Linked DNA regions of Caenorhabditis elegans. The protein of the gene in region 2 purifies or fractionates together with the protein of the main gene of each other region. This does not show direct contact. Each region holds a gene or a part of one and is shown on either strand. Other genes may lie near its edges. The genes, in order: hxk-3 and pole-3.

Evidence for each region.
Region 1: the proteins of pole-3 (region 2) and hxk-3 fractionate together in Caenorhabditis elegans (co-fractionation; one large-scale study listed by BioGRID). This does not show direct contact.

Annotation. Positions count from the first base shown.
Region 1 is NC_003282.8:1,493,514-1,510,435, reverse strand, and holds hxk-3 (Phosphotransferase), read right to left. Parts: upstream 10,575-16,922; 5' UTR 10,561-10,574; coding exon 10,383-10,560; intron 9,598-10,382; coding exon 9,452-9,597; intron 8,266-9,451; coding exon 8,190-8,265; intron 8,126-8,189; coding exon 7,986-8,125; intron 7,026-7,985; coding exon 6,916-7,025; intron 4,332-6,915; coding exon 4,214-4,331; intron 4,085-4,213; coding exon 4,011-4,084; intron 3,493-4,010; coding exon 3,418-3,492; intron 3,186-3,417; coding exon 3,105-3,185; intron 2,220-3,104; coding exon 2,080-2,219; intron 1,736-2,079; exon of another isoform or gene 1,511-1,735; intron 1,128-1,510; coding exon 991-1,127; intron 842-990; coding exon 761-841; 3' UTR 474-760; downstream 1-473. Other genes in the region: npp-20 (Protein SEC13 homolog), read left to right, coding at 14,429-14,476, 14,546-14,620, 14,710-14,831, 15,492-15,806.
Region 2 is NC_003281.10:6,455,226-6,470,676, forward strand, and holds pole-3 (DNA polymerase epsilon subunit 3), read right to left. Parts: upstream 7,632-15,451; 5' UTR 7,623-7,631; coding exon 7,356-7,622; intron 7,313-7,355; coding exon 7,183-7,312; intron 7,129-7,182; coding exon 7,112-7,128; 3' UTR 6,991-7,111; downstream 1-6,990. Other genes in the region: jhdm-1 (JmjC domain-containing histone demethylation protein 1), read left to right, coding at 1-378, 427-676, 795-929, 975-1,051, 1,107-1,349, 2,191-2,235, 2,300-3,076, 3,128-3,320 and 3 more; algn-1 (Chitobiosyldiphosphodolichol beta-mannosyltransferase), read left to right, coding at 4,902-4,936, 4,981-5,136, 5,250-5,439, 5,487-5,614, 5,944-6,096, 6,144-6,957; dlc-1 (Dynein light chain 1, cytoplasmic), read right to left, coding at 7,990-8,167, 8,448-8,539; nduf-2.2 (Complex I-49kD), read left to right, coding at 9,999-10,115, 10,160-10,293, 10,337-10,511, 10,557-10,677, 10,731-11,042, 11,105-11,264, 11,310-11,585, 11,789-11,918; T26A5.2 (ANK_REP_REGION domain-containing protein), read left to right, coding at 12,112-12,447, 12,999-13,448, 13,493-13,672, 13,725-13,931, 14,423-14,684, 14,734-14,846, 14,891-15,018, 15,074-15,451.

The DNA.
Region 1 (16,922 bases), on a different chromosome or scaffold from region 2:
GAAATTTTTATCAGCTAATGATCATGAACGCAATAAATGTTAACGCAAGAAACACAAAAATTTTAAATTATTTTTTTCAATAAACAAAAATTTTATACAAAATCATAAAACATTTTACGATGAACATTTTTTTCTCTTCCGCCAATGTCCAAAAGAAAGTCTGGTAGATTTTAATTTTTTTTTTCAATTTTTGACCAAAAGCTGTATTTTTAAAAATTCCAAAAATACGGGAAAATCCTATAAAGTCCTTCTTTTTTCTTTCATAAAACTGTTCAGAATTGTTAAATCTACCAGAAAATACCAAACAAAGTATGCTAGCTAGTACGGAACATACTTTAAAAAATTCCAATATTTGCCCAAACGCTGAAAATTGAAAAAAATAAAATAAAAACGTTTTTTTTTCAAAAATTTATTTTTTTCTTTTTTTTTCATTTTTTAAATTATATTTTGTTATATCAAAAAATGTGTTCTAAAAAAATCTTTATTTTTAAACAATACTTGAATTTAAAAAATCTCATACAGCTTTACATTTTTAAAGAATTACATTTACAAACACACACACAAAAATGACAAAAAACTTGATTTTTCGAGGGGGGGTTATGGCGGGGAAAACAGAAAAAAAATTCGATGTGTTATCTCTTTCTAAATACAAAGGATGGGGCAAAAAATGTCAGGATTCTTGAGAAAAATCCGAAAATTCTCAGAAAAAATATTTAAAAAAAACGTGCCTATACTGATGATGGGGAAAATTTTCAGATTTTTAGAGCTTCAGGCGTTCGGCAACGGCGGCAATTAGAGCGGCTCCTTGACAACTTCCTTCGTCGGCAGGTACGAGTTCGAACTGAAATTTTTTTATTAATTTGAAACCATTATTTTTTTTATTCGGTAAAAAATTTTTTGAAAAAAAAATTCCAAAAAAAGAAATTTTCAGAAATTTTTTTTCGAATTTTCAAAACTTGCAATTTTTTAAAATTCTCATAAAATTCCTACTTTCATGGTAATCGGCGTGAGCTCTTCGAGCTTCTCCTTTAGCATTTGATGATAGGTTGGATGGAATTGAATAAGAGCGCCACCTACACCAATTTTCACGGAAGACAGTTCCAGGTGACGGAGCAGAGCGCTGATGGCTGGAAATTTGGAAAATTGTGATAGATTAGAGTTATTAAAATGTGAAAAGAGACAGATTTTTGAGAAAAAAAATTATTTGTGAATTTTCAAAAAAAAAAATGTTATTCAATTTTTTTTTTCAAATTATTTTTAAACGTTTAATTTTCTTAATTTAAAAAAAATTAATTACATTGAATTTTAAACTAATCAACAAAGCGAAATTTTACGCTGAAAAACTTTTTCTTTCGCATTTTTAAATTTTTAAAATTTTAGAAAATGTCAGATTTTTGGAATTTTGTAATTTTTGGATGTCTGAACGTTTTGGACAATTAAAACTTTTTAGAAGTTTGGAATTTTTGGAATTTTGAACTTTAAAAATGTTTTTTAGATTTTTGAAATTTTGGAAAACTTCAACTTTTCAAAAATTAAAAATGTTTGGAAACTTTGAAATTTTTAGAATTTCGGAATTTTTGAACAATTCAGATTTTTTTTAAACTTTTGAGACATTTGAAATTTTCTGGAATTTTTTAGTTTTGTAACATTTGGAAAATTTTCAGAATTTTCAGAACTTTTCTGGAAAAATTTGATTTTTTTGGAAATTTTTTAGTTTCGGAATTTTTCAGAATTTATAAAAATTGGAATTTTAGTACTTTGTAATTTTTTAATTATTGGAAATTCTAAATTTTTAGAATTTTTTTTAGAAATAAAATTCGAACTGCTTGGATTTTTTTTTTGAATTTTTGGAATTCCGAACGTTTTGGAAATTTTTGAATTTTGGAAAATTTGAACTTTTTGGAAAATTTAAAATTTTTTTGAATTTAATAAATTTCAGCGTTTTGGGAAAAATGGAAATTTTTTAGAATTTAGGAAATTTTGAAATTTTTTTGAAAATTTGAATTTTTGGAAAATTTAAACTTTCAGAAATTTCGAAATTTGTAGAATTCGAAATTTCAGATCAAAATTTTCAGTTACCTGCGGCAACAATACTGGCTCCTCGTCTAGAGATGACGTCACACACTTCTCGTATTATAATATAATCTCCAGTTCCGTGCATTTCAACTTCAAGCTCTTCACAAATACGTCGACACGCCTTGAATACACCTTCTTCTTCACTGAAAATTGGAAAATTTTATTTTCAAATCTCTGCACTGCAACTTTTTCCTCACGAGGGACGAGGAAAAGTGGTTTCTAGGCCATGGCCGAGGGGCCGACAAGTTTCAGCGGCCATTTATCTTGCTTTGTTTTTCGCCTGTTTTCTTTCGTTTTTCACTGATTTTTTTCGTTTTTTCTTAATAAAACTGATAAATAAATATTTTTTGCAGATGCTAAAACAATTTCCAAGTAAAAAATTATGTATTCAGTGGGCAAGTAGCGGTGAAAGTAAGCATTGTAATATGATGGATTACGGGAATACAAAACATAAACTTTTTTTTTTTTTTTTTTTTGAAAACCTCAAAAATTTTTCAGCGGTCCCGTTATGAAAATCAAGTAATTTCAGCATCTAAGCAGCATATGTATCGTGTTTCAAAAAAAGTTTAGGTTTTGTATTCCCGTAATCCATCATTTTACATTGCCCACTTTCACCGCTTCTTGCCCACTGAATACATGATTTTTTTACTTGGAAATTGTTTTAGCATCTGCAAAAAATATTTATTTATCAGTTTTATTAAGAAAAAACGAAAAAAATCGATGAAAAACGAAAGAAAACAGGCGGAAAACAATACAAGATAAATGGCCGCTGAAACTTGTCGGCCCCTCGGCCATGGCCTAGAAACCACTTTTCCTCGTCCCTCGTGAGGAAAAAGTTGCAGTGTTCAGTAATTATTTCAGATCGAATTTTTTAATCGAAATTTAAATTTTCAGCTTAAACTTGAATTTTTACTCATTCTTAGAATTTTCCAGTCAAGATTTGAATTTTCAACTGTAAATTCGATGCTTTAATTTGGATTTTCGACAAAAAATTTTCAATTTTCTGCTCAAAATTCATCTAAACTCACCCCAAAATCTCTGAAATATATTTTGTCGGGAATGACTCGTCTTCGTCCAATTTTTCACACGATTGTCCTTCGAATAGAACTCTGAAAAATCAAATTAAAAAAAAAATAGTATAGCATTAATTTCTTCGTAACTTTATACTTTTTGCAAAAATCATAAATTATACATATTTCACATGCCTTCATTTAAAAAGCTAAAAGCTAAAATTTTTGTTTTTTTTTGTATTTTTGAGCATATTTTTGCTCTTTTGTGACTTTTCGTAAATTTTCCAAAATTTAATTTTTAATACTAAAAGTTTGACTTTTTTTCACTTACCTATCCAAAACCAGTTGAGAAAGTACTCGTCGCACAACTTCACCAATGTACAGGGCTCCGCACAATTTATCGATTCTGCAAAATTCCAGATTTTACACTAAAAACAAAAAAAAAATGAAAATTTGGGCATAGCTTCCGCATCTCCAGTGACAAGTGTGCTCTATTGCACAAATTGTTGGTTGGAATACGGTATTTATTGCATATTTCAGCCGAGAATACCACTATTCAAACCATCAATTCGGATAGAGAAACACACAAGTCACAGAAAATATACAGGGAAATTCAGTTCAGATGCCGAGTTGCCGTACCTAAATTTACAGCATTCCCCGGCAACTGGGATGGAAAAAGCCGAAAAAATTCAATAATAAGCCACTTTTCAAATAATCGCTGAATTCTAAGTAAAACATGTTGATTTTCAGTATATTTATCAGATTTAAAAAAAAAAGTGAGATTGTGTTAGTTTAATATGTGAAACTTCTAATTTTCCCAATTTTTCGGTTAAATATTGGCTGTTCCTTCGTTTTTCCAGATTTCCTTTGTGATTTTTCGTGTATTTTCATAATTTCGGTGATTTTCAGAGAACATCAACTTACAGCTGTTTTCCTTTGTGCACACTGGCGGCGTCGACTTCCCGATCAAATTGTGTCAGAATATCGTCGAGTTCACCCTGAACATTTTAATTTTTGGATATCGAAAAAGTTAAGATTCTTCTCTTCTAGCTTAAAATTTCTTCGATTTTCTCGTAATTTTTCACAAAAAAATCTAGAATTTTCCGCTTTTTTCCCCATTTTCTTACATGTTTTCCAAATTCCTCCCATTCTGTGACGACAATCATGTTATCATGATCGTAACCGCGAGCTTTTGCGTCGAATTTCGTGATTCGGGACGTTTTTTCCAGATATGACGAGTTGCACCTGGAAAATTGGTTTTTTTTGGCATAAGGAGAAATATGCGAAAAGTCAGATTTTCGGTTTAAAATAAGTTAAAATTTGAAAAAAAACAGAGGCAAAAGCCCAAAAACTTAGTGGTTCCATCGAAGACTTTTTTGTTTCAACTTTAACTATTTTCTCGAAAAACCGGCACCCTTGGTACCTACAGTACCCCAACACTATAATTGCAGAGTTTCAAAAAATTTAGCAGATTAGCAGATAATTTTGCCGAAAATTAACATTTCCGGCAAATCGGCAAACCGGCAATTGCCGCCCACCCCTGAGTAGGAGTACTGTTTTCATAACGAACATTCGTTTCAATCTACTCGAGCATTAATGGGAAATACATTGAATAATGTTGAATACCGTATATTCTCTATTAGTTTTGCACCTCTAATAGTTTTGCACCCCTTCATTTGTTCCCTATTTTTAATAATTTAAAATTTGCATTATAAAATCGTTTTACAAATCAGGAAAATTCTTACAGACTTAGTATAACAAGTCTGTAAGAATTTTCCAGATTTTTCGACGATTTTATATCAGCCTTAAAATTTGTCCATTTTGGTTCACAAGGTGTTACTGAAATTAATGATATTATGCCATAACTTAATGGAAAACATGAGAAAAAAACCAGTTTGAAAATTAGTTTTGCACCCTCTATTAGTTTTGCATCAAATTAGGCGTCCGAAAATTAGTTTTGCACGCCTTACTAATAGAGGATAGGCAATCTATCCCATGCTCACATTTCCCATGCACACATTTCCCATGCTGACACTTTCTCCCGTGCATACAAAATTCCCATGCTTACGCCCAGTAGTTCGAGTACTCCCATGCCTACAATTAATTTTTCTCCTTTTTTTCCGTTCCCATGCTGACATTCCCATACATACATTTTCTCCCGTGCATACAAAATATTCTGATGCTTACATCCAGTAGTCGAAGTACTCCTATGCCTACAACTCATTTTTCCCTTTTTTTTCGTTCCCATGCCGACATTCCCATACATACATTTGTTCCCATACTTACAAAAATGTATTCCCATGCCGACATGGAACAGTTTTGTGCTCCAGAAGAGCACAAAGTCAATTTTTTTGCTCATTTTCATTGTATTAGGCTTACTTGACAGCTTTCAGTTACAACTGATCGCTTTTTTTTTCAAAATGCATTAGTTCTCGATTATGAACAAGGAATCGAAGAAAAATGGGGATGACTGCCTATAGAGTAAAATTTTTTTTTGCTCAAAAAAAATTTTTTTTTTTGAAAATTTTTTTTCTCTCTATTTTGTAGGATATAATTAATTCGGTGAATTCCACAACTTCAAATGTTCATATTGCTGTTTCCGTGCAGTTATGAGTTTCGCAGTGCCTTAGGAACATTTCATTTTTTGTTGTATTTTGTAGGAATTCGGAGCTATCTTATAATTTCTACAAATTAGAAAATCCATTTCGCATTATTTCATGTAACTTGAACCTATTGCTTCAAAAATAGCACAGAACGAATGTTGATTCTGTTTCTTTCATTAAAAAATGTGCTACTGTGCATTTTTTCCCACTTCTACGACTTTAAAGGCGCGCGCATTTATACAAAATGGTCCCGTCATTGGTCTCGCCAGCGCTCAACAAATCAATGGGATGCGCGTGGCGAGATTATTGCGCGAAAATTCGCGCGCCTTTAAAGTCGTAGAAGTGGGAAAAAATGCACAGTAGCACATTTTTTAATGAAAGAAACAGAATCAACATTCGTTCTGTGCTATTTTTGAAGCAATAGGTTCAAGTTACATGAAATAGTACGAAATGGATTTTCTAATTTGTAGAAATTATAAGATAGCTCCGATTTCCTACAAAATGCAACAAAAAATGGAATGTTCCTAAGACACTGCGAAACTCATAACTGCACGGAAACAGCAATATGAACATTTGAAGTTGTGGAATTCACCGAATTAATTATATCCTACAAAATAGAGAGAAAAAAATTTTTCAAAAAAAAAATTTTACTCTATAGGCAGTCATCCCCATTTTTCTTCGATTCCTTGTTCATAATCGAGAACTAATGCATTTTGAAAAAAAAGCGATCAGTTGTAACTGAAAGCTGTCAAGTAAGCCTATTACAATGAAAATGAGCAAAAAAATTGACTTTGTGCTCTTCTGGAGCACAAAACTGTTCCATGTCGGCATGGGAATACATTTTTGTAAGTATGGGAACAAATGTATGTATGGGAATGTCAGCATAGGAACGAAAAAAAATGGAAAAAATGAGGTGTATGCATAGGAGTACTTCGACTACTGGATGTAAGCATGGGAATTTTGTATGCACCGGAAAAAATGTATGTATGAGAATGTCAGCATGGGAACGGAAAAAAGGGAAAAAATGAGTTGTAGGCATGGGAGTACTCGAACTACTGGGCGTAAGCATGGGAATATTTTGTATGCACGGGAGAAAATGTCAGCATGGGAAATGTGTGCATGGGAAATGTGAGCATGGGATAGATTGCCTAGAGGATATACGGTAATAATAAATTGTAATAAAAAAATGGGGGAGCAAAATGTTAGCAACCTAGCAATATCCTTACCCATAACCGATAACCACCCCAATTGTGCATTCTGGACCATATTTGTGTGCGGCAGCAGCCAACTGTCCTACTGTGTCGTTCATCACTGCTTTGATGCTCACTTTTGTGGACTGAAATCGAGTGTTTTTTGTTATTAAACTGTGTTATTACGGGAACTCAAAATTCTCTGAGAATGCGTATTGCACAACATATTTGACGCGCAAAATATCAAACTACAGTAGAATTCTTTAAATGACTACTGTAGCGCTGTTGTGTGTCGATTTACGGGCTTCCTTTGATTTAAATATTCTATCGATAAATAGGTGATTTCACTTTAAAAATGGAGCCCATAAATCGACAAAAGCGTGTTGTGGCACCCGGAGGCGGCGACCGAGCCTTTAAGCCGTAACGAAGAGTGACTCGAGACCGAAGAAAGATTATGTATAGTCTGGAAGGAGCCCTCTGGCAGTGCGGATGAATGCGGTGGTCTTGCTCTCGAGGAGACTTGAATATAGAGCTAGTGACAGAACAAATGTATAAATATATTAATTTATATAGTAATTATAAGAATTACAATAAAAGAGGGAGAGAGGATAAAGTAGGGGGAAGGCCTGGAAACTCCTTGGTTATTGGAGTTTGTCGGGTTCTCCTTGGATATCGGAGCAAGTACATGAATAATAGTGAGGGGCAATTACAAAGGAAAATGGGGGATGCGTCGGGAGAGAAGTGCCACGCACGACCGTTCGGCACGAGCGCAGCATCAAGACTGAAGTGGTGGCGTCCAAAGGCTGCGTATCCTGCCGTCGCTTGAGTCGCCGCGCAGCTAATGTCGGCTCCCCATTCCACAACAAAGCGCTACAGTAGTCATTTAAAGAGCTACTGTAGTTTTCGCTACGAGATAGATATTTTGCGCGTCAAATATGCTGTGCAATACGCATTTTTAAAACTTTTTATTACCGTAAGAAAAATTGCCAAATTTTAAAGCTATTTTTCGTAGAATCGAAAATTTTACGGTTTCCGATTTTAGTGATCACAAAAGGACAAATTTTCAAATTTTTTGATAGTTTTTCAAGAAAAAATCGAATTTTTACCATATTCATCTCGAGAGCCTCTTCCAATAGAGCTACAATATCCCGTTGCAAACAATCCTTAATATCGAACCCTTTAGTCCACCACAAAAGACGTGCCGAACGAATTGACAATAGTTCACATGGATATGAGAATACGAACCCTGAAAAGACATATTTTAATATTTTTTCCAGGAAAATCGGAATTTTCGGTGAAAAAGTTCGTACCAATAGGTAAATTAGCATCAACTAGTCCGAATTCTTGTAGGAATCGTTGGAGGCAATTGACGATGAATGTGAAAAGCTGAAAGTTGAGAAATTTCGCCAATTTTTGCCCGTTTTAGTCGGGGTTTTGAATTGAAACTTTGAAAATTTGGTGTCAGGTTGTTGTCCCATAAGCTCCAAACGGCGGGAAATGTTTTTTTGAAAATTTGTGACGTCACAGATTTTTCAAATTTTCGATATTTGATGATTGATTTGTTTTCTTGCCAAAAAAATTTCAGAAAATTTGAATTTCCCACCAAATGTTTTTTTTCCAGAAAATTTGAAATTCTTGCTAAAAAAAAATTTCAGAAATTTTGAATTTCTGCCAAAAAAATTTATTTTCAGAACTTTTGAATCCAAAATCTTTTTTTTTCAGTAATTCACTGCAACTTTTTCCTCACGAGGGACGAGGAAAAGTGGTTTCTAGGCCATGGCCGAGGGGCCGACAAGTTTCAGCGGCCATTTATCTTGCTTTGTTTTCCGCCTGTTTTCTTTCGCTTTTCATCGATTTTTTCGTTTTTTCTTAATAAAACTGATAAATAAATATTTTTTGCAGATGCTAAAACAATTTCCAAGTGAAAAAATTATGTATTCCAGTGGGCAAGCAGCGGTGAAAGTGGGCATTGTAATATGATGGATTACGGGAATACAAAACCTAAACTTTTTCTGAAACATGATTCATATGATGCTTAGATGCTGAAGATACCTGATTTTCATATCGAGACCGCTGAAAAAGTTTTGAGGTTTTCAAAATTCAACTTTTTGTGCGAAAATCTCGACTTTTTCACCGAAAAAGTTGAATTTTGAAAATCTCAAAACTTTTTCAGCGGTCTTGATATGAAAATCAGGTAATTTCAGCATCTAAGCATCATATGTATCATGTTTCAGAAAAAGTTTAGGTTTTGTATTCCCGTAATCCATCATATTACATTGACCACTTTCACCGCTGCTTGCCCACTGAATACATAATTTTTTAACTTGGAAATTGTTTTAGCATCTGCAAAAAATATTTATTTATCAGTTTTAATAAGAAAAAACGGGAAAAAGCTGTGAAAAACAAAAGAAAACAGGCGAAAAACAAAGCAAGATAAATGGCCGCTGAAACTTGTCGGCCCCTCGGCCATGGCCTAGAAACCACTTTTCCTCGTCCCTCGTGAGGAAAAAGTTGCAGTGTTTTTAGCTGTTTTTTCGGAAATTTTCAAATTTTTCGCACAAATTTTGCTTACCTGATCACCGGTTCCCTTCATAACATGATTAGCTACTATATAATTGACTGTTTCATGCGTGGGCGTCGTTCCGGCTCCGTTCATTGTGAGTAACATTATTCGAAGATTCTTTCCCGACAAATCGATTGCCACGTATTTTCCGGTTTCTGGAATTTTTTGTATGTTTTTGATTTTTCCTTTAAAAATTAAGTTTTCTGAATTTTAGTTTTTTAATTTGTTAAATTTTATAGTATTTTTCAGATTTTTTTTTGACATTTTTAGGAAATTCTTTAAAAATTGAGATTTTAGGCAAATTTTCATGAAAATAATGATTTTTTTCGGAATTACTAAGTAAAATTATTGCATTAACAAATGTTTAGCGATTTTTTTCGCGATTTTCTGTAAAATTTGTCAAACTTCAGTGAATTTTTTAAACTTGCACTAACTTTGTAAGTCTTAACTTAATTTTTCGACTTTTTTCCTGATTTTCAAGGAATTTAATATATTTTTATAATTTTTTACGCAATTTTTTGAATTTTTTTTTCGATTTTCAGCTTTTTTCAATAAAAATCAAAAATAAACAAAATTTCTGAAATTTCACATTTAAATCAATTTTTTTTAGAGTTTTTAATCCACTTCGTAGATTTTTCTATAAAATTACAATTAAAATTAGTTTTTTTTTTCAATTTTACCTATTTTCCATGAAAATTCGTAAAACTTTTGAATCTTCAAAGCAAAATTTGAATTTCTTTGTCGTTTTTAGTAAATTTTCACGATTTTTAATTAATTAAACTAATTAAATTCCAATGGTTTTTTTCTCGATTTTCAGAAATGTTTGATTAATTTTATCAGTTTTGTTTTTTGGGATTTTTCGAAATTGGCTAAAATCGACGATTTTTTATGTTTTTTTTTTAGATTTTTTCATTAAATTTCCATTTTTCTGCATTTTTACCTGTTCCATCTGGCAACGCTGGTACATAACTCGGCAACATTGCAATCGATGAGCCTTGAGTCTTTGCGAGACCCATTTTCATTTGTTGCTCCACTTTTTCGCTGATTTCTTGAAGTTGTTCACGGTTTAAACGGAATTTCGCGAGGATTTCCTCGACTTCTGGTGGTAGAACCTTCATTTTTGTGGAGATTACTGTAAAATTTTGGGATTTAGGAAGGTTTTTTTGAATTTTTTGAGGAAAAATAGGGGGTTTTCTAAGAAAAATTTAATTTCAAAAACCGATTTACAGAGAAAATTGGCAATTTTTTTAGAAAGTTTAAGAAAAATTGACTTTTTTGGAAAAAAAAATTCCGGAAAATTGAATTTTTCGTGATTTTTCAGGATTTCTTGTGGAAAAAAAATATGAGAATTCGTGAAAATTAGGTTTTTTTCTGGAATTTTCGGGGAAAAATAGGATTTTTTTGAAACTTTTCTTTGAAAAAAAAAGTTGTTTTCTACATTATCAGTATTTGTTTTAATGAAAAATAGGTAGTTTTAACAATTTTCAGACAAAAATTTACTATTTTTGTAGAAAGAAAAAATCGAAATTTTTGGTAAAAATGTGCCGGAAAAACTGAATTTCGTCGATTTTTGGAGTTTTTTTTCTGGAATTTTCGAAAAAAAAATTGAATTCTCGTCAGTTTTGTATTTTTCTTTGGAACACTATGCATTTTATTGCATTTTTCAGTGATTTTTCGGTAAAAATAGGGTTTTTTTTCCAAAAAAAAACTTTTATAACCATTTTTAGACAAAAATTGATAATTTTTTAAAGAAACTTTTTTAAAATTTGGCTTCTGTGGAAAAAAAGTGCCGGAATATTGGATTTTTCAGGATTTCCTCGAAATAGTAAGTTTTTTCTGAAATTTTCAAAAAAAAATCGAATATATTTGTTATTTTTGTATTTTTCTTGGGAAAACTGTGTGTTTTATTAGTAATTTTTCGGTAAAAATGCGTAAAATGTCAAGCGAAAACGACGAAAAATTAAAATTTGAATTTCTCGAAATTTTCTGAGAAAAATACGTTTTTTTTCTAGAAATTTCGGGAAAACATTAATTTTTTTTTGAGTTTTTGCAGAAAAATGGTAAAAAATTGCAAAAATTCTACAAAATAGCGAATTTTCACGATTTTCTGTGGAAAAAATTGTTTTCTGAGATTTCCGAAGCTTCTGTTTAAAAAAAAATAATTTTCGTGAAAATATTGATATTTTTGAGTTTTTGCAAAAAAATCGTTAAAAAATTATAAAAATAGCGTGTTTTCAAGATTTCCGGTGCGAAAAAACAATTTTTTAAAAAGAAAAACGTTCAAAATTTGAAAAATGCCTATTTTTCACTGCAACTTTTTCCTCACGAGGGACGAGGAAAAGTGGTTTCTAGGCCATGGCCGAGGGGCCGACAAGTTTCAGCGGCCATTTATCTTGCTTTGTTTTCCGCCTGTTTTCTTTCGTTTTTCATCGATTTTTTTCGTTTTTTCTTAATAAAACTGATAAATAAATATTTTTTGCAGATGCTAAAACAATTTCCATGTAAAAAAATTATGTATTCAGTGGGCAAGCAGCGATGAAAGTGGTCAATGTAAAATAATGGATTACGGGAATACAAAACCTAAACTTTTTCTGAAACATGATACATATGATGCTTAGATGCTGAAATTACCTGATTTTCATAACGAGACCGCTGAAAAAGTTTTGAGGTTTCCACAATTCAACTTTTTTGGTAAAAAAGTCGAGATTTTCGCACAAAAAATTGAATTTTGAAAACCTCAAAACTTTTTCAGCGGTCTCGTTATGAAAATCAGGTAATTTCAGCATTTAAGCAGCATATGTATCATGTTTCAGAAAAAGTTTAGGTTTTGTATTCCCGTAATCCATCATATTGCATTGCCCACTTTCACCGCTACTTGCCGACTGAATACACAATTTTTTAACTTGGAAATTGTTTTAGCATCTGCAAAAAATATTTATTTATCAGTTTTAATAAGAAAAAAACGGGAAAAATCTGTGAAAAAATAAAAGAAAACAGGCGGAAAACAAAGCAAGATAAATGACCGCTGAAACTTGTCGGCCCCTACCACTATTCCTCGTCCCTCGTGAGGAAAAAGTTGCAGTGTTTTTCGGTTAAAAACCTCGAATTTCCGAGATTTGTCGATTTTCTTCGGAAAAACTATGTACTTTAACAAATTTACAGGGATTTTTTTGGAAAATTTCTGGAATTTTCCAACTTTCTCGCAAAAAATTTAAAATTATCGATTTTTTGATAATTTATCTATCAAATCAAGTGGCAGAAAGGAGAAAAACAATAAAAAGGGCAGTCCGCACGTGCAGAATTGAAGAGAAAGAGGACCTCAGCCAGGGTGAGAGAGTGTAGAGGGTGTGGAGACGCAGACACTGAAAGAAGGGGGTTCAGAGATGTGGAGAGTGCAGAGATGTTGGTGTGATGAAGACTTGGCAGTGTGCCAAATGATATTTTTTATGGAATATGATGCAATTGTGCTCTGTTGATAATTTTTGGGGTGGCAGGATTCTTTTGGGGGAAATTATTGATTTTTTTTTTCTTTAAATTTGATTTTTCTATAAAAAAAATTGGATTTTCTATAAGAATTTAGATAAATAATAGTTTTCTTATATTTGCTTTAATGATTTTTCGGCACAAATAACAGATTTTTTCAAAAAAAAATTTTTTTTTACTTTTTGGGGATTTTTATCGGAAATTTGAAAAAAACTGAAACTTACGATTTTGATGCTTCTTGAAACTATTATTTTTCGAAACTTTTTTCAAAAAAATTCTGGAAATTATTGATTTTTGTCCTAAAAATTTTTAAAACCCCGAAATTCTATCGAAAAATAATTCAACATTTTTAGATTTTGCGTGAAAACTCTGTTAGAATATCGACTTTTCTGTCAATTTTCAATTTTTTTCCGCAAAAACTGCCAGAATTTCCTCAAATAGTTCATTTTCGATTGAATTTCCAAATTAATCCGAAAAATCGATAATTTTTTGATTTTTAACTGGATTTTTCGATAGAAACGTTAACTTTGCTGACTTTCTAAAATTTTTACAAAAAAAAACATTTTAAAAAACGTTGGAAAACACATAAAATTCGAGTTTTTCGGCTGGAAATTGGGGAAAACACAAAAAAAAACAAAATGTTCTACAGTAACCTTGAAACTGCGCGTCGGGTTAGATGCATTGATACGCAATTGCGTACAATGCATTTTACTTGCCGCGCACACTTTTTGGAATTATTTTCAGCAAAAATTGCAATTTTTCAAGTATTTCAGCGAAGAAATTGAAAAAAATAAGATAATTGCAAAAATACAAGCGGGTTTTAAAGTTTTCTTTTTAAAAATCTCAAGTTTCTCAATAAAAATATAGAAAACATGTTTTAAAACAGGAATAAGCGAAAAACTATTATAATTTATTGATTTTCGCCTCCAAATCACGCTAGAAAATCAAACTGATGATCATGACAGAAAGAAATGATCGTAAAAATTGCGCTGACGACGTCACGCGACCCGCAATAAGACACACGGAGGCTAAGCACAAAATATAATGTGTTTTTTTTTCATTTGAATCTTTTTTTCAGACTTCAAAGTACGGCGTGTTGATATTGATGATCAGAAGAAAAAATCAAAACAGAAGAAAAAACAAGGACAATATAATTAAGAAAGTTGTTTTTCAGAACTTTGATCTTTTAATCTGTGTTGAAAGGTTCCCTGAGTTGTTTTTGATTTAAAATCTTAAAAAGTAGAACTAGAAATTGTTATTTTTATCAAATTATCAACAATTTCCCATTCGAATTCTCCAGGTTTCCATCAATTATTATTTTCTCGTGATTAAATCCACGTTCCTTGGCGCACGAGAAACACGCCAGCTATCGTTTGCTGGCGCGTTTCTCGTGTTGACGCGTTTCTCGATCGTTCCAACTTGCAATTTTTAAATTCAATTTTTGCCGAAATTCACTCAATTTTTAGCGATTTTTTTCGAAATTTCTAGATTTTCAGCTGAAAAATGACCACGGTCCGCCAGAGAATCGATACACAACATCGTGACGCAATTGTAAGTCGGAAAATCTGAATTTTAGCTAAGAAAATCTATTTTTTTTTTTTAAATTCTGAAAAATTGCAGCACGACGCTCAGCTCAACATCTACGGAAGCCGACTCGCCACGTGTGGATCTGACCGTCTTGTGAAGATTTTTGAGGTCAGGAAAGGCGAAAAATCTTGGATTTTCTGCAAAAATCCCAGAATTTTCATAATTTCAACGCAAAAAAAAATATAAAAATATTACAGGTTCGCCCAAATGGCCAGTCATATCCGATGGCGGAGCTTGTCGGACACAGTGGTCCCGTTTGGAAAGTCTCATGGGCTCATCCGAAATATGGAGGACTTCTTGCCTCCGCTTCCTATGATAAGTACGGAATATTTGGAAAAAAAAACGGAAAAATGATCAAAATTTGCTAGATTCGATCAGAATTTCATAAAAATACGCTAAAATCTCTGTTTTTAATCGGTTTTCAGCTCATTTTTTGGGTTTTTTGCCAAAAATTGGTTAAACAGAGTGATTTTGGAAGAAAATGGACACAAATATTGAAAAATGCAGCCTATTTCTGAAATTTCAATGAGTTTGATCATTTTTCACCGATTTTACGCTATTTTCCCTTTAAATTCACGGATTATTTAAAGAAAAATCAGTATTTTCGGTCAATTTTCACAGTTTTTTTTTGAATTTCAAGCCTAATTTCCCTCAAATCCACCAAAATTTTAAAAACTTCAACGGGTTTTATGAAATTTTTACCGATTTTCTGCAATTTTTTCCCGAATTTTAGTCGATTTCTGCCCCGATTTTTGTAATTTTTATCGATTTTATTCAATTTTCATAGTTTTTTTTTCGGAATTTTGAGCCAATTTACCCCCCAATCCAACGTTTTTTTCTGGAATTTCCATGAATTTCAGTAGTTTTTCACGGGTTTTTTGCAATTTTTAGCTCATTTTGCTCTAATTTCAGGCATTTTTCATCAATTTTCACAGATTTTCAGCCAATTTTCCCCCAAATGAATCGATTTTCTTTCCAGAAAAGTGATAATCTGGAACGAACAACAAGGCCGCTGGCAAAAAGCCTACGAATGGGCCGCTCATGAGGCCAGTACGACTTGTGTGGCCTTTGCACCACACCAATATGGCCTAATGTTGGCTTCTGCCTCTGCTGACGGTGATATCGGTATTCTTCGATACGACAATTCGAGCAACGAATGGATTTCGTCGAAAATTCAGAAATGTCATGAACAAGGAGTTAATTCAGTGTGTTGGGCACCTGGAAGTGCTGATCCGGCGGCAAAAAAACGTCTTGTTTCAGCTGGAAATGATAAAAATGTCAAGATTTGGGCTTTGTGAGTAGAGAAAATGCACTGAAAATCGATTTTTTAGATTTTTTAGATTTTTTTTGACCCGAAAAACGTGAAATTTTGACGTTTTTTCGATGGAAAATACAAAAACCGCAATTTTCTCAGGTTCTCAAAAGTCAGATTTTTTGTAAGCCTAAGCCTAAGCTTAAGCCTACGCCTACGCCTAGGCCTAAGCCTCAAATTGCCAAAACTTCTCGGAAAAAAAGTCGTAAAATTTTACTTTTTTTTCAGCAAAATTGGCAGATTTTATGAAATTTTCCCAAAAAAGTTGTATTTTTGATCCAAAATTTGTTTAAAAATCACAAATTAGTGCAGTTCTTACCGGAAATTTTTGAAAAATTCAAATTTTTCCCTCAAAATTACCTGATTTTTTGCTAAAATCACAAGAATTTCTGAGATTTTTCCCCTGAAAAAGTCAGTTTTTCTGGGATGAAAAAATTCGCAAAATAAAAATTAAATTCGGATTTTTTTTAAGGCCTAAGCCTTAGCCTAAGCCTGAATTCCAGAATTAAAAAAAATTTCCTTCTGAAAAATCAATGAAAAAATTGTTTTTTTTTCTGAAATTCTCAAAATTTACAATGTTAAAGTTAAAAATTCGACCCAATAGCGTATTTTTTCACCGAAAATTCTCAAATTTCTTAAATTTTCACCTGAAAAATCCCATTATTTTGCCAGTGACGACGCGAAAAACGAGAAAAAATGGAAATTTTTCGCCAAAGTTCCAGATTTTTCTAGAGTTTCCTTTGAAAAATCCTTTTTTTTGACAATTTTTCCGTGAAATAACCCATTTTTTCACAGTTTTCCATCAAAAAAGACTAAAAATCCGACCATTTAATAAATTTCTTTCTAAAAAATTGTAAAAGTAAAAGCGAATTCTACCCGAATTTCAGATTATCGTGTTAAATTCAAAATTTCCAGGTTTTGGATATTTTTTAACAGATATTTGTCGAATTTCCTGGATTTTCCCCCTGAAACATCCAATTTTTCGGTTTTTTGATTAAAAAAAAACTGAAAAAATCACTCAAAAAATAATTTAAACTTGAAAATTTGTCCCAAAAGCTGTTTTTTTTGCAAAAAATTCTCAAATTCCAGATTTTTCGC
Region 2 (15,451 bases):
TTTCCAAAAGTTCAAAACTACTGCCTGATGAGCGTAGCGAACTGTTATACAGATTTTCACATTGATTTTAGTGGAACATCTGTGTGGTATCATGTACTGAAAGGTCGTAAAGTCTTTTGGTTGATTCCACCAACCGAAACCAACTTTTTTATTTATCAAGAATTTATTAAAACTGTCAACGATAATGCGTTCTTTGGAAAGTCGGTCGAAAAGTGCCACGTGGCTATCTTGGAGCCAGGAGACACGATGCTAATTCCAAGTGGATGGATTCATGCCGTATATACTCCAGATGATAGTCTCGTTTTTGGAGGCAATTTTCTTCACTCACAATCATGCAAAACACAATTAAGAGTTTATCAAGTTGAAAATAAGTTGAATGTGAGTTTTTACAGAAGACTTGTAAATAACAAATTTGAAACATTTCAGATCACTAGAAAATTTCGCTTACCGTACAATGAAGAACTTATTTTCTACGTTATAGCTGATTATGTAAAACAATGGACAGGAAGAGAATATGTGAGACCACTTCGAATCGAAGATGCAAAATATGACTATGTTGGAGACAAATGGAAAACCGCTGGTGGCCATCATAAGAAAATCGAATACTCAGATTACGAAACTGGAGTTGAATTGACAAACGATATGATTAAAGGAGACGAGGAATCCACAAAAGATGGTAGAGTATTTTTTATTTTTTAATGTCAAAAAAGAATGAATGACTAATTTAAAATGGTTTCTTTGATCTTTTTAATATTTTTCTCTCTTTTATATGATTTTAAAATCGAAATTTTCAGAAGTTAAAGTGATTGCAATGCACGCGGAGAATTCACTATTTGGTTATCCTATGGTCAGCAAAGCAACGTTTTCAGCTGACACGGGTCTTGAAGAAGAAGCTGACGAAGATGAAGTCAAGTATCAAGAAACTAAAGGTAAGGAGATTTAAACACGACAGTAATAAAATTGATGAATTTCAGAAGAAATGGATGCTCGACGCGATGCTGAAATCGATGAACTAGCTAATTCAAATTCATTAATTTTCTACAAGAACCGTGTAAGAATTTATCGAATTCAATGAAGTTTCCTCTCGAAATTTACATGTTTTTCAGACGCACGATTTTGTTCGAAATAAATGCGTGCCGGACCACAAACTTCCAATTGGACACGAGCCGCCAATCTACTTTAACGATGATGAGATTTCTAGGATATCCCCTCGACTTTTGGATGAACTTGAAACTCTTGGCACTTATATTCGTCGAAAAGCACGTGTCGAAGTGGCTGAAGGAATATGCCAGCCAGCGTCTCTCATTAACACATTCCAAACTGTTTTGAAAAAAAGACGTTCTGAATTGGTAAGTCAAAAAGACCGATAAACATTGTTGAAAGTAGTAGATAGTGAGAAGTGAAAGACTGTTGAAACGCCTGCGTCTCTATCGCCCTCTTCATCTCGTTCTGCATGCGTCTCTATGGCCTCAAACTGTCGTATTATTTTGCAGGCTATTGGCATAGTGAGAAAAACTTATCTGATCTAGGTTTTTTTAGGTATAATTGAAAAATTGTTTGATGAGCTGTTATTCTTTTCTGCCCTGAACAAACGTTTATTTCGATAATTTTTAGTTACACTAACACTAAGTTTATTTACATTTAGTGCTCTATTTTTGTGTAAAATTATTGTTAATGTCACTTGCCACATCTAATTGTCACATCCATTGTTACAGCCGGTAATTGTACTGCGAAACGCGCGATTCTAAAAGACGATCGAATGATCTCTTACAGTCTGTTTAATAATTTGCAACCGGGGCACTCATAATTTTGTAAATATCTCGCAAAGATCCATCTGTCTTTTTTTTTCAAATTTCCACTACTTAGTGGCGAATAATGCTAGTTTCCTAATTTTTCAGCCGAACTAAAGTCAATCGACTCATACCACATACACCGACACGTTCAATCTCCTTCACTATCTCACTATTATAATCTCATAATCTGTAAATTTTCTAATAATCCGTTCACAAAAAGATATAACAATTCTAATACTAATTATTAATTTGCGTCGAGAATAAATTCCTTTTTGTGCTGCATTAAAATTTTCAAAATGTTTTTTTTTTTGTAGTTGCCCAAGTCTTCATACTTCTCACTATCGTTTAAAGTGTGCAAATTGTTTTTTTTTTAAATTTTAATTGTTTTGACTTTCAGACAGGGAAGAAATTTGAATTCAACCAGATAATGCCTCGAAGATATGTAAGTTTTTATATTGTTATTATTTCTGAAAATTATTGCAATTGGTTGAAAATCTAACTTTCAGACTCGATCCACCATGGAAACCGGTGAATATGACTTCCAGCCGACGCAAGAAGTACCACAAGAATCTGCGAGAAGAAGCACAAGATTCAAAGTTGATAACTTTCCCGATGAGCTTTTAGAATCGGAAGTGACTGATAAGCCTATTATATTGCCTCAACAACCATCATCAGGACCTCTCGAATATCTTCCTGCACCCAAAGATGAAATTAAAGAGGATATTAATGGTTTTGAAGAAGAATTTGAGGAGGAATATGAAGGAATTGGGCAACGTGATGATCAGGAGGAAGAGGAATACGATGCCGAAGAGCCGGAAGATCAAGAGGAGGAAGAAGAAGATGAATATCAAGCCGAAGAATATACTCCAACTCCAGTTACAAGACGTTCTAGTTCAAGACGTTCAGGTGCTAAAAATGATGAATCAGAAGAAGTGTCAGTAAAGAAGGACAAAAAGGAAAAGATGGAGAAAGTTGAAAAAGACGAGAAGAGAAGGAATTCGAAGAGTAAGAAAGACAAAATTTCGAAGGAAAAGAAGAAGAAGGAGAGAGAACGTATTGAATTGGAAAGTCAACTCGATGCAGAGCTCAGAGCTGCTCATGGAGGAGGATCGAGCAAATCTAAAAAGAAAAAGCCAGAGAAGCCGGCATTTGTTGGTGGACTTCCAACTTCATCTATTCAAATCGATCCAGTTGTTTCAAATCCGTATAACTATGATCCCAGAATGGAGATGATGAAGCTTGGAACTGGACAGCTCAAGTCAGCATACAGAAAAACGAAAAATGTGAGTTTTTATCTGTTTTGTTCATTCAATTTTAATATTAACTATTTTAAGAACGTCGAACTTCATATTGAAAAGAATCTCTACAAGATTGAGCCGAAACGAGGAAGTGAGGAAGGAAGTCAAAGCCGCGAGCAAAGTATGGAACCAGAGCACAGTACTCCAGTTTTCACGACTTTTGATGATATAAATGAAGCAAATAATGATCATTACGATGGACAGAAGCCTCCAACTAAAAGAGCTAAATGTAAGTCTTATTTGAAATTTTCGTACTTAAAATTCAAAAAATCAATTTAATTCCAGATGAGGCAATTAGTGTTGACACATATGAAACTCCATCGTCTTCAAGAAATAAAGAACACAAAGAATATCGTCCCAGTCCGAACGCTGCTCCAACTCCATCACCATCCCATCATCAAAAACCAAAACTTTCATCTCCAGCAATGGTCTCATCGACAAACGAATATCAGTTACGAAAACACATGTCGAGCGAACGGCGAAGCAGTGATGCAGGATCGGCAATGAAAAAGGGCGTATATATGCCTGCAATGTCTCGTCAGGATAAGATGATTGCTGAGGGAGCATCTGCTCCCTCGTCACGTCACTCCTCGATCTCATCTGAACGTCGTCCGAGTTTCATACCTGATTTCAACTCTTCTCGTAATTCATCTATTGATACACCATACACTCCGACTACTGTAACACCTTCAAGAGTAAGATTTTGATGCAATTTTTAGCAAACATTTTTCTTATTTTTTCAGTCTTCTTGGCTCCCGAACACGTCGTCCATTAATCGTCACTCAATTGAAGATGATTCTCCAATAGATGTTGTCAATGATTCATTATCACCAATAAATATAGCCAGCTCGCCGACCTACCCAACTGCAATCACTCCACCACCGGTTACTCTCAGCGATTTGAAGAAGGATATGTCAAATGGACGCAAAAGTCATAGTCAGCATCATGACGATGGGTTCGTATAGTATTAAAGAAATTATATATTATAATTTGTATTATTTAGGCACAAGCACAAGATTCCATCAAAAGAAGCGATTGCAGAGCTGAAGCTTCTCGTCGGAAAACTTAAAGCTATCAATGATTCCTAGTTCTGATCTGCTATTCAACTAAGGAATCGATCGTCGCCTCTTTACATTTTCATTTACAATTATTTTCTTGTTTTTAACAAAAATGTTCTTAATCAACAAGTTCGGGCTCTGTCGCAAAATATAAGCTCTCATTTTCCAACATTTGTTTCTATCTTAATGTCCATTAATATATGGTTTTTGTTGTTATCTCGTGTTATTTTAAGTTCCAGCATTTGCGAAAGTTGTCTGAATTTCTTGAATTAACACATCCATTGTTTTTTCAAGCTACCTCAATTTGCAATGTTATTCAAACACCTATTGCTGTTCATTTTTCATTCCAAATTATCTATCTTTACCCGTTTTTTACTCCTCCCATTTTTCAAAAATAATTTTATCTGCAACGTCGTGGTCTGATGATGATTCTCGTACAGAAATTCTTTTTTGCATCTCAATGTTTCCAACTAATTTCCCGTCGATATCCGTTGTTTTTTATCTATCGTATTTTTTTAAAAACAAATGCCAATACCAATTCACGAGAGCTTTACTTGCCTTGATGAACCGTATCTCTGTATTCATTTTTTGTTTACTTGATCCTTTTCTAGTTTTTTCATTTTAATAAAGCAGACGTTAGAATTTATCGTTTACGGACTGGAAAATAGGTGGAAATTCCTTGTAGTCTATACTTTTGCAATAGGAAATTTCCATAATTCAAGCTTAAAAAATTGAATCTTCATAGGCGTACAATGGCAAAGGAAGACGACGAATCGCCAGACGAGAGGTAAAACAAAAAATTTTTAAAAATTACTGAAAATAACAGTTTAGAAGTGAAGCCGCAGTCGTCGTTCTTGGTGATGTCGGCAGAAGCCCACGAATGTGTAATCACGCAAAAATGCTCGCTGATGAAGGATTTGATGTCAAACTTATTGGATTTTTCGATTCTATTCCAGGAGAACAAATTATGAATCATCCAAGGATAAAGTGAGTTTCAGAAAATTTTTATCTAAAAAATTTGCAAAAAAGTTGTTCCGTTTAAAAAAATAAATTTAGTTACAAATCATCCAAAGAATTTTTCCAAATAAATAAAATTTCAGAATAGTTGGAATCCCGCCACCTCCTGACTTCATGGATTCGTTACCAGCTTTCGTGCAACTTCCACTGAAACTTTTTTGGAACTTTATAACTCTTTTCTTGGCTCTCGCTTTTCAAACAAGCGCCTTTAATTTAAGAATTATTCTTATGCAGAATCCGCCGGCGCTTCCGACGATGATAGTTTGTTTCATGGTAGGATTCTACTGACTACCGTTATAAAATATCAACTTTAATTTCAGTTTTCCATATTCAAATTCGCAAAATTCTCAATTGATTGGCACAATTACATGTATTCAATTCTACAAAATAAATACCAATTGACCGATGATCAAGTTTTTGGAAACGATAAAAAAACCAAAAAAGCCCAGTGAGTATTGGACACCGGCATTGTTCCCCGACGCGAAAAAAAACAGTCGGTACTCGGTCTCCACACGACAAATCTTTGTGAAACGAAGAATGACATACGCCTTTAAAGAGTACTGTAATTTATCCCATGAAAAATATTTTTTACGAAAACTGGAAAAATCACATCAAACTGTTGCAGCAACGAATTTGAAACTATAGTACTCTTCAAAGGCGCATAACCTTTCATATTTAACGAAAACTTGTCGTGCCGAGACCGGGCAACGTATTTTAGCCAAAACATTCGCGTCTGTACAATAAATCAAACTCGTATTGAACAATTTACATTTTCAGAATTGTGAGATGTGTTGGATTCCTAGAAGGTCTATGTGGAAAACTATCCGATTATAATCTGTGTGTAACAAATGCCATGCGTCGAGATCTCATGGATCGATGGGGCATCAGAGCCAGCACATTCTATGATAGGCCGCCGACGTGGAAATTTAGGTTTGAACAAATGTGAAATTTCTGAAAATTAATCTCGAAATTTTCAGAGACACAACAATACAAGAGATCCATGATTTGTATCTAAGACTTTCACAAAAGGAACGAATTCTACAAGGAAAAGACGAAGACTCCACAATTCTGACTCATAAATCTTCGAACGGAGTAGTGCAGCTACTAACAACTCGACCCATTGTGTTTCTCTCTTCCACATCCTGGACACCTGATGAACGGTTTGAAATTCTTCTCGATGCGCTGGTTGCATATGACAAAACAATCGGACTCCCGCGAGTTTTGATGATTATCACTGGAAAAGGTCCACTGAAAGCGAAATATTTACAAGAAATTCACGAGAAAAATCTGAAGAATGTCGATGTATTGACTCCATGGTTGGAAGCAGAAGATTATCCAAAGATTCTAGCCTCTGCTGACTTAGGAATCTCTTTGCACACAAGCACGTCTGGATTGGATCTTCCGATGAAAGTTGTTGATATGTTTGGAGCTAAAGTTCCAGCATTGGCTCTAAAATTCAAATGTATTGATGAGCTCGTTGAGGAGAAAACTAATGGATATCTTTTCGATGATTCTGAGCAGTTGAGTCGTCAAATTATTGAACTTTCTCGTGGATTCCCAAATAATTGCAATGAATTGATACGGCTCAAGAAGAATACACAGGAGCAAAAATTCGATTCTTGGGAAGTGATGTGGAAGAGATCAGCTACCTCTGGTGCAGACTTTCGAGTTCCAGACAATGGATTCGCCAAACTTCGTGCAATTATTCAATTCTCATTTTTCGCTATTTTATTGATCATGCCGATTCACTTATTTATGGGCACTTTTTCGGGGGCATTCAGATCGCTTTAATTTTTTTTCGGGGTTTTGTACATTCAATAAACTATTGGCCAAAATTGTTTATCAAAGTGAAATGTTAGAGACAAAAGTGGGACACGCGTTGAGAATCGGAATGAGATTTTACAGGAAGGATCGTTTTGAGCAGGAATGAGTTGGTTATGAGTGATCAGTTCATCAATGAATCTGCAATATTATAAATTATTCAGATAAACTTCAGATTTAAAGAATAGAACTAACCATCGACAGGAGTATCGTCAATAATGTCGTCATCCATTTCAGCATTGACAGAGCTGGATTCAACTGGATTTTTACGAGCGAGAGCCTTCTGCTGACTAATAACTTTCCATTTATCGTTGGCGGACTTGCACTGGAAATTTTAATTTCTTAACTCTTTCGAAACCCATAATTACATGATTGTGAATAGAAGTATTCTCAAGCTCTCGGAGTCCTTTGACAACATCATCTCCTGAGATCGTCTTGTGCTTCTGATCGCGAGCAGATTGAGCCGAAACGTCGGACAAGTTTATGAGAAACACTGCTGCAGCACGAGCGATGACGTCTCGAGCATCTTTTGATGCAGAAATATTGTCTTCTTTCATGAGCCGAGTCACAATTGCTGCTGGCATCATCATTTGAGCAATTCGATCATCGTTTTGATCCACATCGTTTGATGACATTTCTATCTTAAATTATTGCCTTGTTCAGTTTCGAGTATAAAAATGAAGCACAGATAATTAAGGGATTTAAAGCTATCCTTTTATTTTTACTTTTAGTGCGAGCACTTTTCGAGAACAAAAATATTATGAGTTCTCTTTTCTCTCAAAAACGGACAACGTAAGAAGATTTATGGGTGATGGAGGAAGATTCAAAGAAAATGAACAGTTTGAGCTAAATAAATAGAATGCGACGAAGGAAAATGTTTTTTGGGAGGAAAAGGAAGATTTAACAAGAGTGCACACTGAAGATCCTACGCCACCTAAGGTACACGTAGGATCAGGTCACAATTTAAAGATCATTGAATGTTTTTTAAGAACAGGATGGGATTTATCCAGACTTGAATAGCAGGATGGCGACCTGTCCAAGGTAGAAGTAGATAAAGTGCTTAGTCTCGTGGGTCACGTAGCTTCCAAAGTTTCTTCCGACGATGCAATGCCAGGTTGGGTTGTATTTCTTGTCGAACTCCTTCTTGATGTAAGCGGCAATATCCTTCTCGATGTTGTATCTGAAAAAAAAATGTTTTGATTTTATTTTTTAGACTTTCATCGCTTCGCTTTTTTCTTGCACAAGGATCAGATTTGTTCGATCAGCTGGTCGCTCCTGCTCGCCCCCTCCCCTAGACTCGGGCTGCCGTCCACTTTAGTTTAAATCAAGGGACCGATGAGCCGTTCCAAACAGCTAAACGACATTTCTTTACACTTTTTCTCTACTAAGCGACCAAGTGTTGTTCATGGCAATCGAATTATTCAAGCGTTTAAAATGCAATGAGAAAGCTCATAACTCACTTCTCGAGGGCCTGGGTGGCGCAGTCGATGGCGTCCTGTTGCATGTCATCGGACATGTCGGCATTCTTGATCACAGCCTTGCGGTCAACCATTTTGAACGGATTTGGCTGCAAAAAATACAAAATTAAATTAATTGAACACCGGGTACTCGGTAGTAGTTATAATAACGGTTGTGAATGCGGAATGCGGAGGTCAAAGAGATAGATAAGGATAATGGAAGAACGGCAAGGTAATTATTTGAGCGACCCAATTTATGACACGAAACAGGAGTATGTTAGTACGAATAAGGCTCTTCAGAGTATTAAAAATATAATTTGCAAAGCTCGGAGGCACTTGAGTACAGAGTATTTGCGCCCGCAACATGAAAAACTTTTGACGTGAATTGTTTAAATCTGAACAGTTTAGAAATAATGAAATAGATGAAAGAAGAAGAGTTCCCCAGTTATGTGTCATCGGGAACTTTTTTCAAAAGATATTTCATGTCAACAAACAGGCTACTTTTTCGATAAGAGTACACATCAGATTGTACGCATTTATCAGCAGCAGCATTCGTAAGACAACAGAGAAAAGATATCGAAAGTGGAGGAGAATGAAGTGAGCCAAAAGATAACAGTTTCAAAGAGTGGAGGAATGGGTGGCATTGGGAGACGAAAGAGAAGATGGCTGAGCGAAGCCGAGAGCGAGATAGGCGGGGCGCGTCGCACGCTGCACAGCCGCGTCGCACGCGACCCGGCTGTGTTGGAGTGTGCGACTCGGCTGTCGTCGGGGCAATGCGCGCGCACTCAAATGCAAACAGGCGCGTGCCCGCGTATTTCAAAATGTTTTGGGGTGTTGGTGGGAGCGAGAAGAAGGAGAAAAAAAAGAAAAAGTGAAGGGCGTTGGAAGAAACTGCGAGGTTGTTGTGTGAGACGAGCATGAATGTGTTTATAGACTCTAACTCCTGAATACAATAGACCGGAAAAAGGAAGAGGGTGAATATAAAAGTAATAGATGCATAGAAGATCAATTTGAAACATAGCAAAGCTCTTGGAAAAAACCAAGAGCTTAAAAATATATGATGAACACTTTAAATCTATTTTTAACACTTTTAATCTACTTTTAATCAACTATCGTCAACAAAAATTCCACAATCTCTACTAGCAAAATGTTGTTATCGCTCGAAAAAGCACTGGAAACACTATCTTTGCAAATTCTATGAATAATTGCTTATAAATTCTGGAATTTAGTTATTTCTTTTTAGAGAAAGTGTGTTTTTTTGGGAAAATAAAGGGCGTTTGAGAAAGATTAAAAAGCCCAAAGATTCAAGTAGGAAATTTTTTTACGAATACTCTTATTTTGAAAAATTCGGAATTTTTCGAAAGTTAAACATTTTGCTAAGCGCTACCTTAATCTTTGAATAGCCTAAAGGCGCAAGGAGCAAGTCTCGAGTAGGGTCCCGCAACGATTGAAAGCGACTACGGTAGTATTTGAAATTAGCAATATTTGTTTTACACGTTTTCTCCTTGAATTTTCAAGTTTAACTGTAAATTATTACTGTAAATTTGTTCAGAGATGCTTTCGCGATCATTGCATCCTCTTCGAGCGGTAGCATGCGCCAGGCCAGCTATTTCTAATCGTGATTCTCACACAATTTGGTATCCTGACGCTAAATTCGAACGTCAATTCAAGGTATTACTGTTTGCATATACTTTAATGCATTTTCACGATTTCAGACTGGCGGAACTCTTGGGAAACTTTGGATGTCAGAACGCGTATCCGATTTCGACGATCAAATCGGACTTGACAAATTGGAGAAACTTGCATACAGCGATCCGGTGCTCAGCGACAATTATGAGGGAAAGAAGAGGTTGCTGCAACGTTTTTTTTGCGATTTTTAAATTCTATTTCAGAGAGAAGAATCTGGAAAACATGATTCTCAACTTTGGACCACAGCACCCTGCGGCTCACGGAGTTCTTCGTCTTGTTCTCAAGCTGGAAGGAGAAGTCATCATTAAAGCTATTCCACATATTGGTCTGCTACATCGCGCTACAGAAAAGCTCATTGAGCACAAGACCTACACACAGGTTGAGTCGAAACAAATTTCAATTCGAATTCGAATAAAATTGTAGGCACTCCCGTATTTCGATCGCCTTGACTACGTATCCATGATGTGCAACGAACAAGCTTTCTCTCTGGCAATTGAAAAATTGTTGGGGATTGACGTTCCACCAAGAGCGAAGTATATCAGAAGTGAGCTATATGAATCGAGTATCGCAATTTAACATTTTAAAACATATTTTCAGTTCTTTTCGGCGAACTCACTCGAATTCAAAATCATATTATGGGAATCACCACACACGCCCTCGACGTTGGAGCTATGACCCCATTCTTCTGGATGTTCGAAGAACGCGAAAAATTATTCGAATTCTCAGAACGAGTTTCAGGTGCAAGAATGCACGCAAACTATGTTCGTCCAGGCGGAGTCGCATGGGATCTTCCTGTTGGATTAATGGATGATATTTATGATTGGGCTGTGAAGTTTCCCGCTCGTATCGATGAACTGGAGGATATGCTTACAGAAAATCGAATCTGGAAAGCTAGAACAGTTGATATTGGTAAGTGTGACATCATTGAGAGCATAATGAAATCCAATATCTTCTAATTTTCATTATTTTAGGCCTTGTCTCCGCATCCGATGCTCTTAATTGGGGATTCAGTGGTGTGATGGTTCGTGGAAGTGGAATTAAGCAAGATGTTCGAAAAACCGAACCATATGATGCCTATGCCGATATGGAATTCGATGTACCAATCGGAACAAAGGGAGATTGCTATGATCGGTAAAAAATAGAGAGGAAACATTCAATCATTATCTCATTTTTCAGTTATTTGTGTCGCGTAGAAGAAATGAGACAATCGTTGAACATTGTTCATCAATGCCTCAACAAAATGCCAACTGGAGAAATTAAATCCGACGATCACAAAGTGGTGCCACCGAAACGAGCTGAAATGAAAGAGAACATGGAATCGCTTATTCATCACTTTAAATTTTTCACTGAAGGATTCCAAGTACCGCCTGGAGCTACATATGTACCGATTGAGGCTCCAAAGGGAGAATTTGGAGTGTACCTCGTGGCCGATGGAACGGGAAAACCGTATCGGTAAGGGGGTGACTCAGTGTGATAGTATAAAACATACGTGTTTTATATTTATACAATATACTCTATTTTCTGCATTCAAAAAATGATTGTCATCATCAGAACAGTACTGATAGAAATAAAAACTGGAGAACAAAATAGTACAGGGACGTAAAAATAATAGATTTCAATAAACTAAATATGAAAATAGTTTGAATAATTTCCAGATGCTTTATCCGTGCTCCTGGTTTTGCCCATCTTGCCGCAATTCACGACGTATGCTACATGTCTCTAATCGCTGATATTGTTGCTGTTATCGGAACTATGGATATCGTTTTCGGAGAAGTTGATCGATGAATGTGTTTTTTGCTCTTGTAATTTTTGTTTTAGTGTAGCCGATGAATGAATTTTCTTTTTTTTAATTTTGAATGTACGGTTGGTTCGTTTTGGTGGTTTTCGCCAAATTTTCAATATTATTTCTGTTATACTTATCAAATAGTTTTTTTTAAATTTTGCAGTTAATTCTTAAAAATTGGTAATTGGATTTCTCATGGATGCTACGACCAGCAAGCCTCGTGAAAATGATCTTGAACACATGAGTAACGCGTCATCTACGTCGTCTGGAAGATCGTCACGGGCTGAAGTTCTATGGGCGGATGTCTTAAGTCATATTCCATTCGTCAAAAGATTCACAACACCAGATTCTCGAAAAGAGCAAAAAGTTCGAATATTATCGAAAAACGAGGTGGACGAAGAGGATGGTGTACAATTGGAACAATTGATACAAAATCAAGAAGTCATTTTATGTCACTCATCCTCAATGAATTTTCACCAACAGTGCAGAGGGAGTGTCGTCGATTTTGAGTATATAGAGAAAAAAGTCAAGGTTCGACTTGAATTTGAGTTTTGAAAATTGTAAAACGAAAGCTACTGCAAAACATCTTTGCACCTAGAAAGAGTAAATACAAGTTTTTCGGAAAATCTTTCAAAAATTAATTAGCGTCATCGAAACTTTTACAGTACAGAATTAAAAAAACCTTTTTTAGTCAAAACGGAAAAGCGAAAAAAATCTTCCAATTCCAAACAACATCAAAAAAAGTTTTTCAAAATTTAAATTCGAATATTTCAAACATTTGCACTCTAGTTTTTTTTGTAAAAAGCAAAAAATTTACCCATTTATTAAGAAACCATGAGATCATGAGAATGCCTATCATTTTGGCGCGGGAATATCTCGTAGCGAAGGCACCTAAATCTCTCATAAGTTTCTCTGTAAGCGACAGAAATTTTCGATTTTTTCTCTAAAAAGCGTCCGTGTAAAGTTAAATTTTTCTGGGAAAAAATCCCGATTTTTTGTAGATCAAACTGTAATGAGACAGCCTGACACCACCTTCGAAAATCAATTTCATATTACTTTTCCCGAAGAAAACATATTTTCAGGTGACCGTCTCATCGGAATCAGACTTTCCAATCTGGGAAGACACTGATATTTGGATGCAAGCGTTATCAACCCCAACAAGCTCTCTTTATGCAATTGATGCAAATACATCTGTTAATTCAGAACTTATCGAAGATGAATCAGTTGTACAAGAACAAAAAGAACAAATATCAGTGAATATTCAAGATCAATCTGACCTATTTCGATCTATCAACGGCTGGAAATTGATCAGTACAAGGCGTGAACGACATCGTCGAATGTATGATGGAATATGGAAAAATGTGTATTTGACACAACTCGAAATGACTTGCATTGATCCAATTGATACTGAAAAGTTATTACATGTCCAGGAAAGAGCCCCACTGCGTCTGAGTGACGATATTGAAGAATTTGGAGATGTTTTGGTGGATGTAATCAAAAAGAAAACCGACACAAAGAACAATGTTTTTACGGTACTGATGAATGATTTTTCACTAAAAAAATCTTTCTTTTCCAGATAACTCTCGGTCTTACCGGCTTTGCTCGATTCCATGCAGAAATTCAATTATCGAAAGAATCCACATATTACTTGAATTTCGATGATGGTTATGAAGATGACTTGGCGAGTCTTGCAAGTGAAGAAGACATTCTTTCTGGCTACCAAACTATTCAAAATGTTGATGAATTATGTGACAAAGTAAGTCTAATTTTAAATACAAGCGAATAATATTTAAACATGACATTTTCAGATCGGTGAACTCACTGTCACTGACGTTTGCATCAAAACGTGGTTTGATATCCTTCACAATTATGCTTACATTCGTCTCATTGTAACATCAGCGAAGAGAAAGCTTCAACACTTTAAGTTGCTCACTGGTCACCATGTAATCATTCAATCTGCTACTAGTGATCGGGATACAGTATTGGCTGTTGTGAGCAGAGTTATGAAAGATGGAGTGAGAATTATTTATACTTTTAACTTGTAATTTTGTAATTTTTAAAACTCGTGCTGATTAAAAATTTACAGACAATTTTCCATGAACAGGAAAAAAAAAGAAAATGCCTGAAAATATTTGAATCATGATGCTAAATCCAAAGACGTGAAAGTTGGCAATTTTTGCGCCAAACCCGGTCTCGACACAACAAATTTTTGTTTAATGTAAAACGGTGTGCGTCTTTAATGACTAAATACTGTAGTTTAAATGTTTCGTTATTGTGGTCATCAATTTTTATATTTTCACAATAAAAAATATAAAAAATTATTTATTCGAAAACCAAAGTATTACTTTAAAAATGTTTTTTAACTAATAAAAAATTATTCTTCTGCTGTTCTTCTACAACGAAAATTTGAAATTACCGTAATCTTAAAAGACGCACACTTTTTAGTTATTATTTTTTAAATGGACTTATTTATTACAAAATCCTAATTTATATTTTTTATTTTCAGATTGTGCTTACCTTACAAGGAGTTAAAAAACAAACAAAAAATTTTGTATTCTCCAAAAACGAATTGTTCACTATTCAAATCGACCATAATTATGAGGATCGTCTACAAAAACTCACTGGAAAAGAGGAAGAGCATGAAAATCTTCGACGTGAGCTTATAAACTCTGATTCGGATATTCGATTGCATCGATCCTGGAAATCCAATGGTAAACAATATGCTACATTTACAAGCAAGAATGATGCATTTAAGAAGATTCCTTTTAGTAAGAACTTCCTTTTTTATTATTTTTCATAAAAGTTTCATCCTTGCAGATACAAAATTTCTACTTGGAAAGTGCTGGGAAGCCGAAGGAGTTCTCGAAAAGAAAGCGGATTTCATTTTTGCTATCCGAGTGGCCGACAAAAATTTCAGCACTCCTTCGACGGTATAAAATTGTATCACGAAATAACAACATTAACCCAAGGAAAGTGTTTTCAGATGACGTTCGAAATAAAATTCACAAGAAATCTTGTGCGAAACTCGAAGGATTTTGAACTTTCCAAAGCCTTCTACTATGTAGATTTCGATTTGGCCCATTTTGTTGAAAGTGATCATTGGTAAGGAGATAATTTATCGTACGGTTTCGAATTTTCTAACAAAGAATAATTACAGCTACTCGCTCTTGAACGCTAAAAGTGTGAATGGGAAACCCGATGAAACTGTTGTCAAATCGTGTCCGATAGACGAAGATTTAGTATTCTCAGTATTTCCATTTCAATGTGGTAGAAGAGCAGAAGAGAGACGTCGAGGATATCAAGAATCACAGAGAGAAGTACAATCTTCCACGAAAAAGCCAGACGTAAAAGTAGAAAAGAATGTAAAACTTGAAGCCCCAGAGAAGCAGAACAAGAGAAAAGATACAGCACTTAACCCAAAGGAGAAATATTGTGCGCAAAAGTTGGAGAAACAACTGAATGATCAGACGAAGACTCCAAAGCAAAAGCCTAAGCAAGAAACTTCGGCAGGAATAAAACGTGAATCAACGCAGAG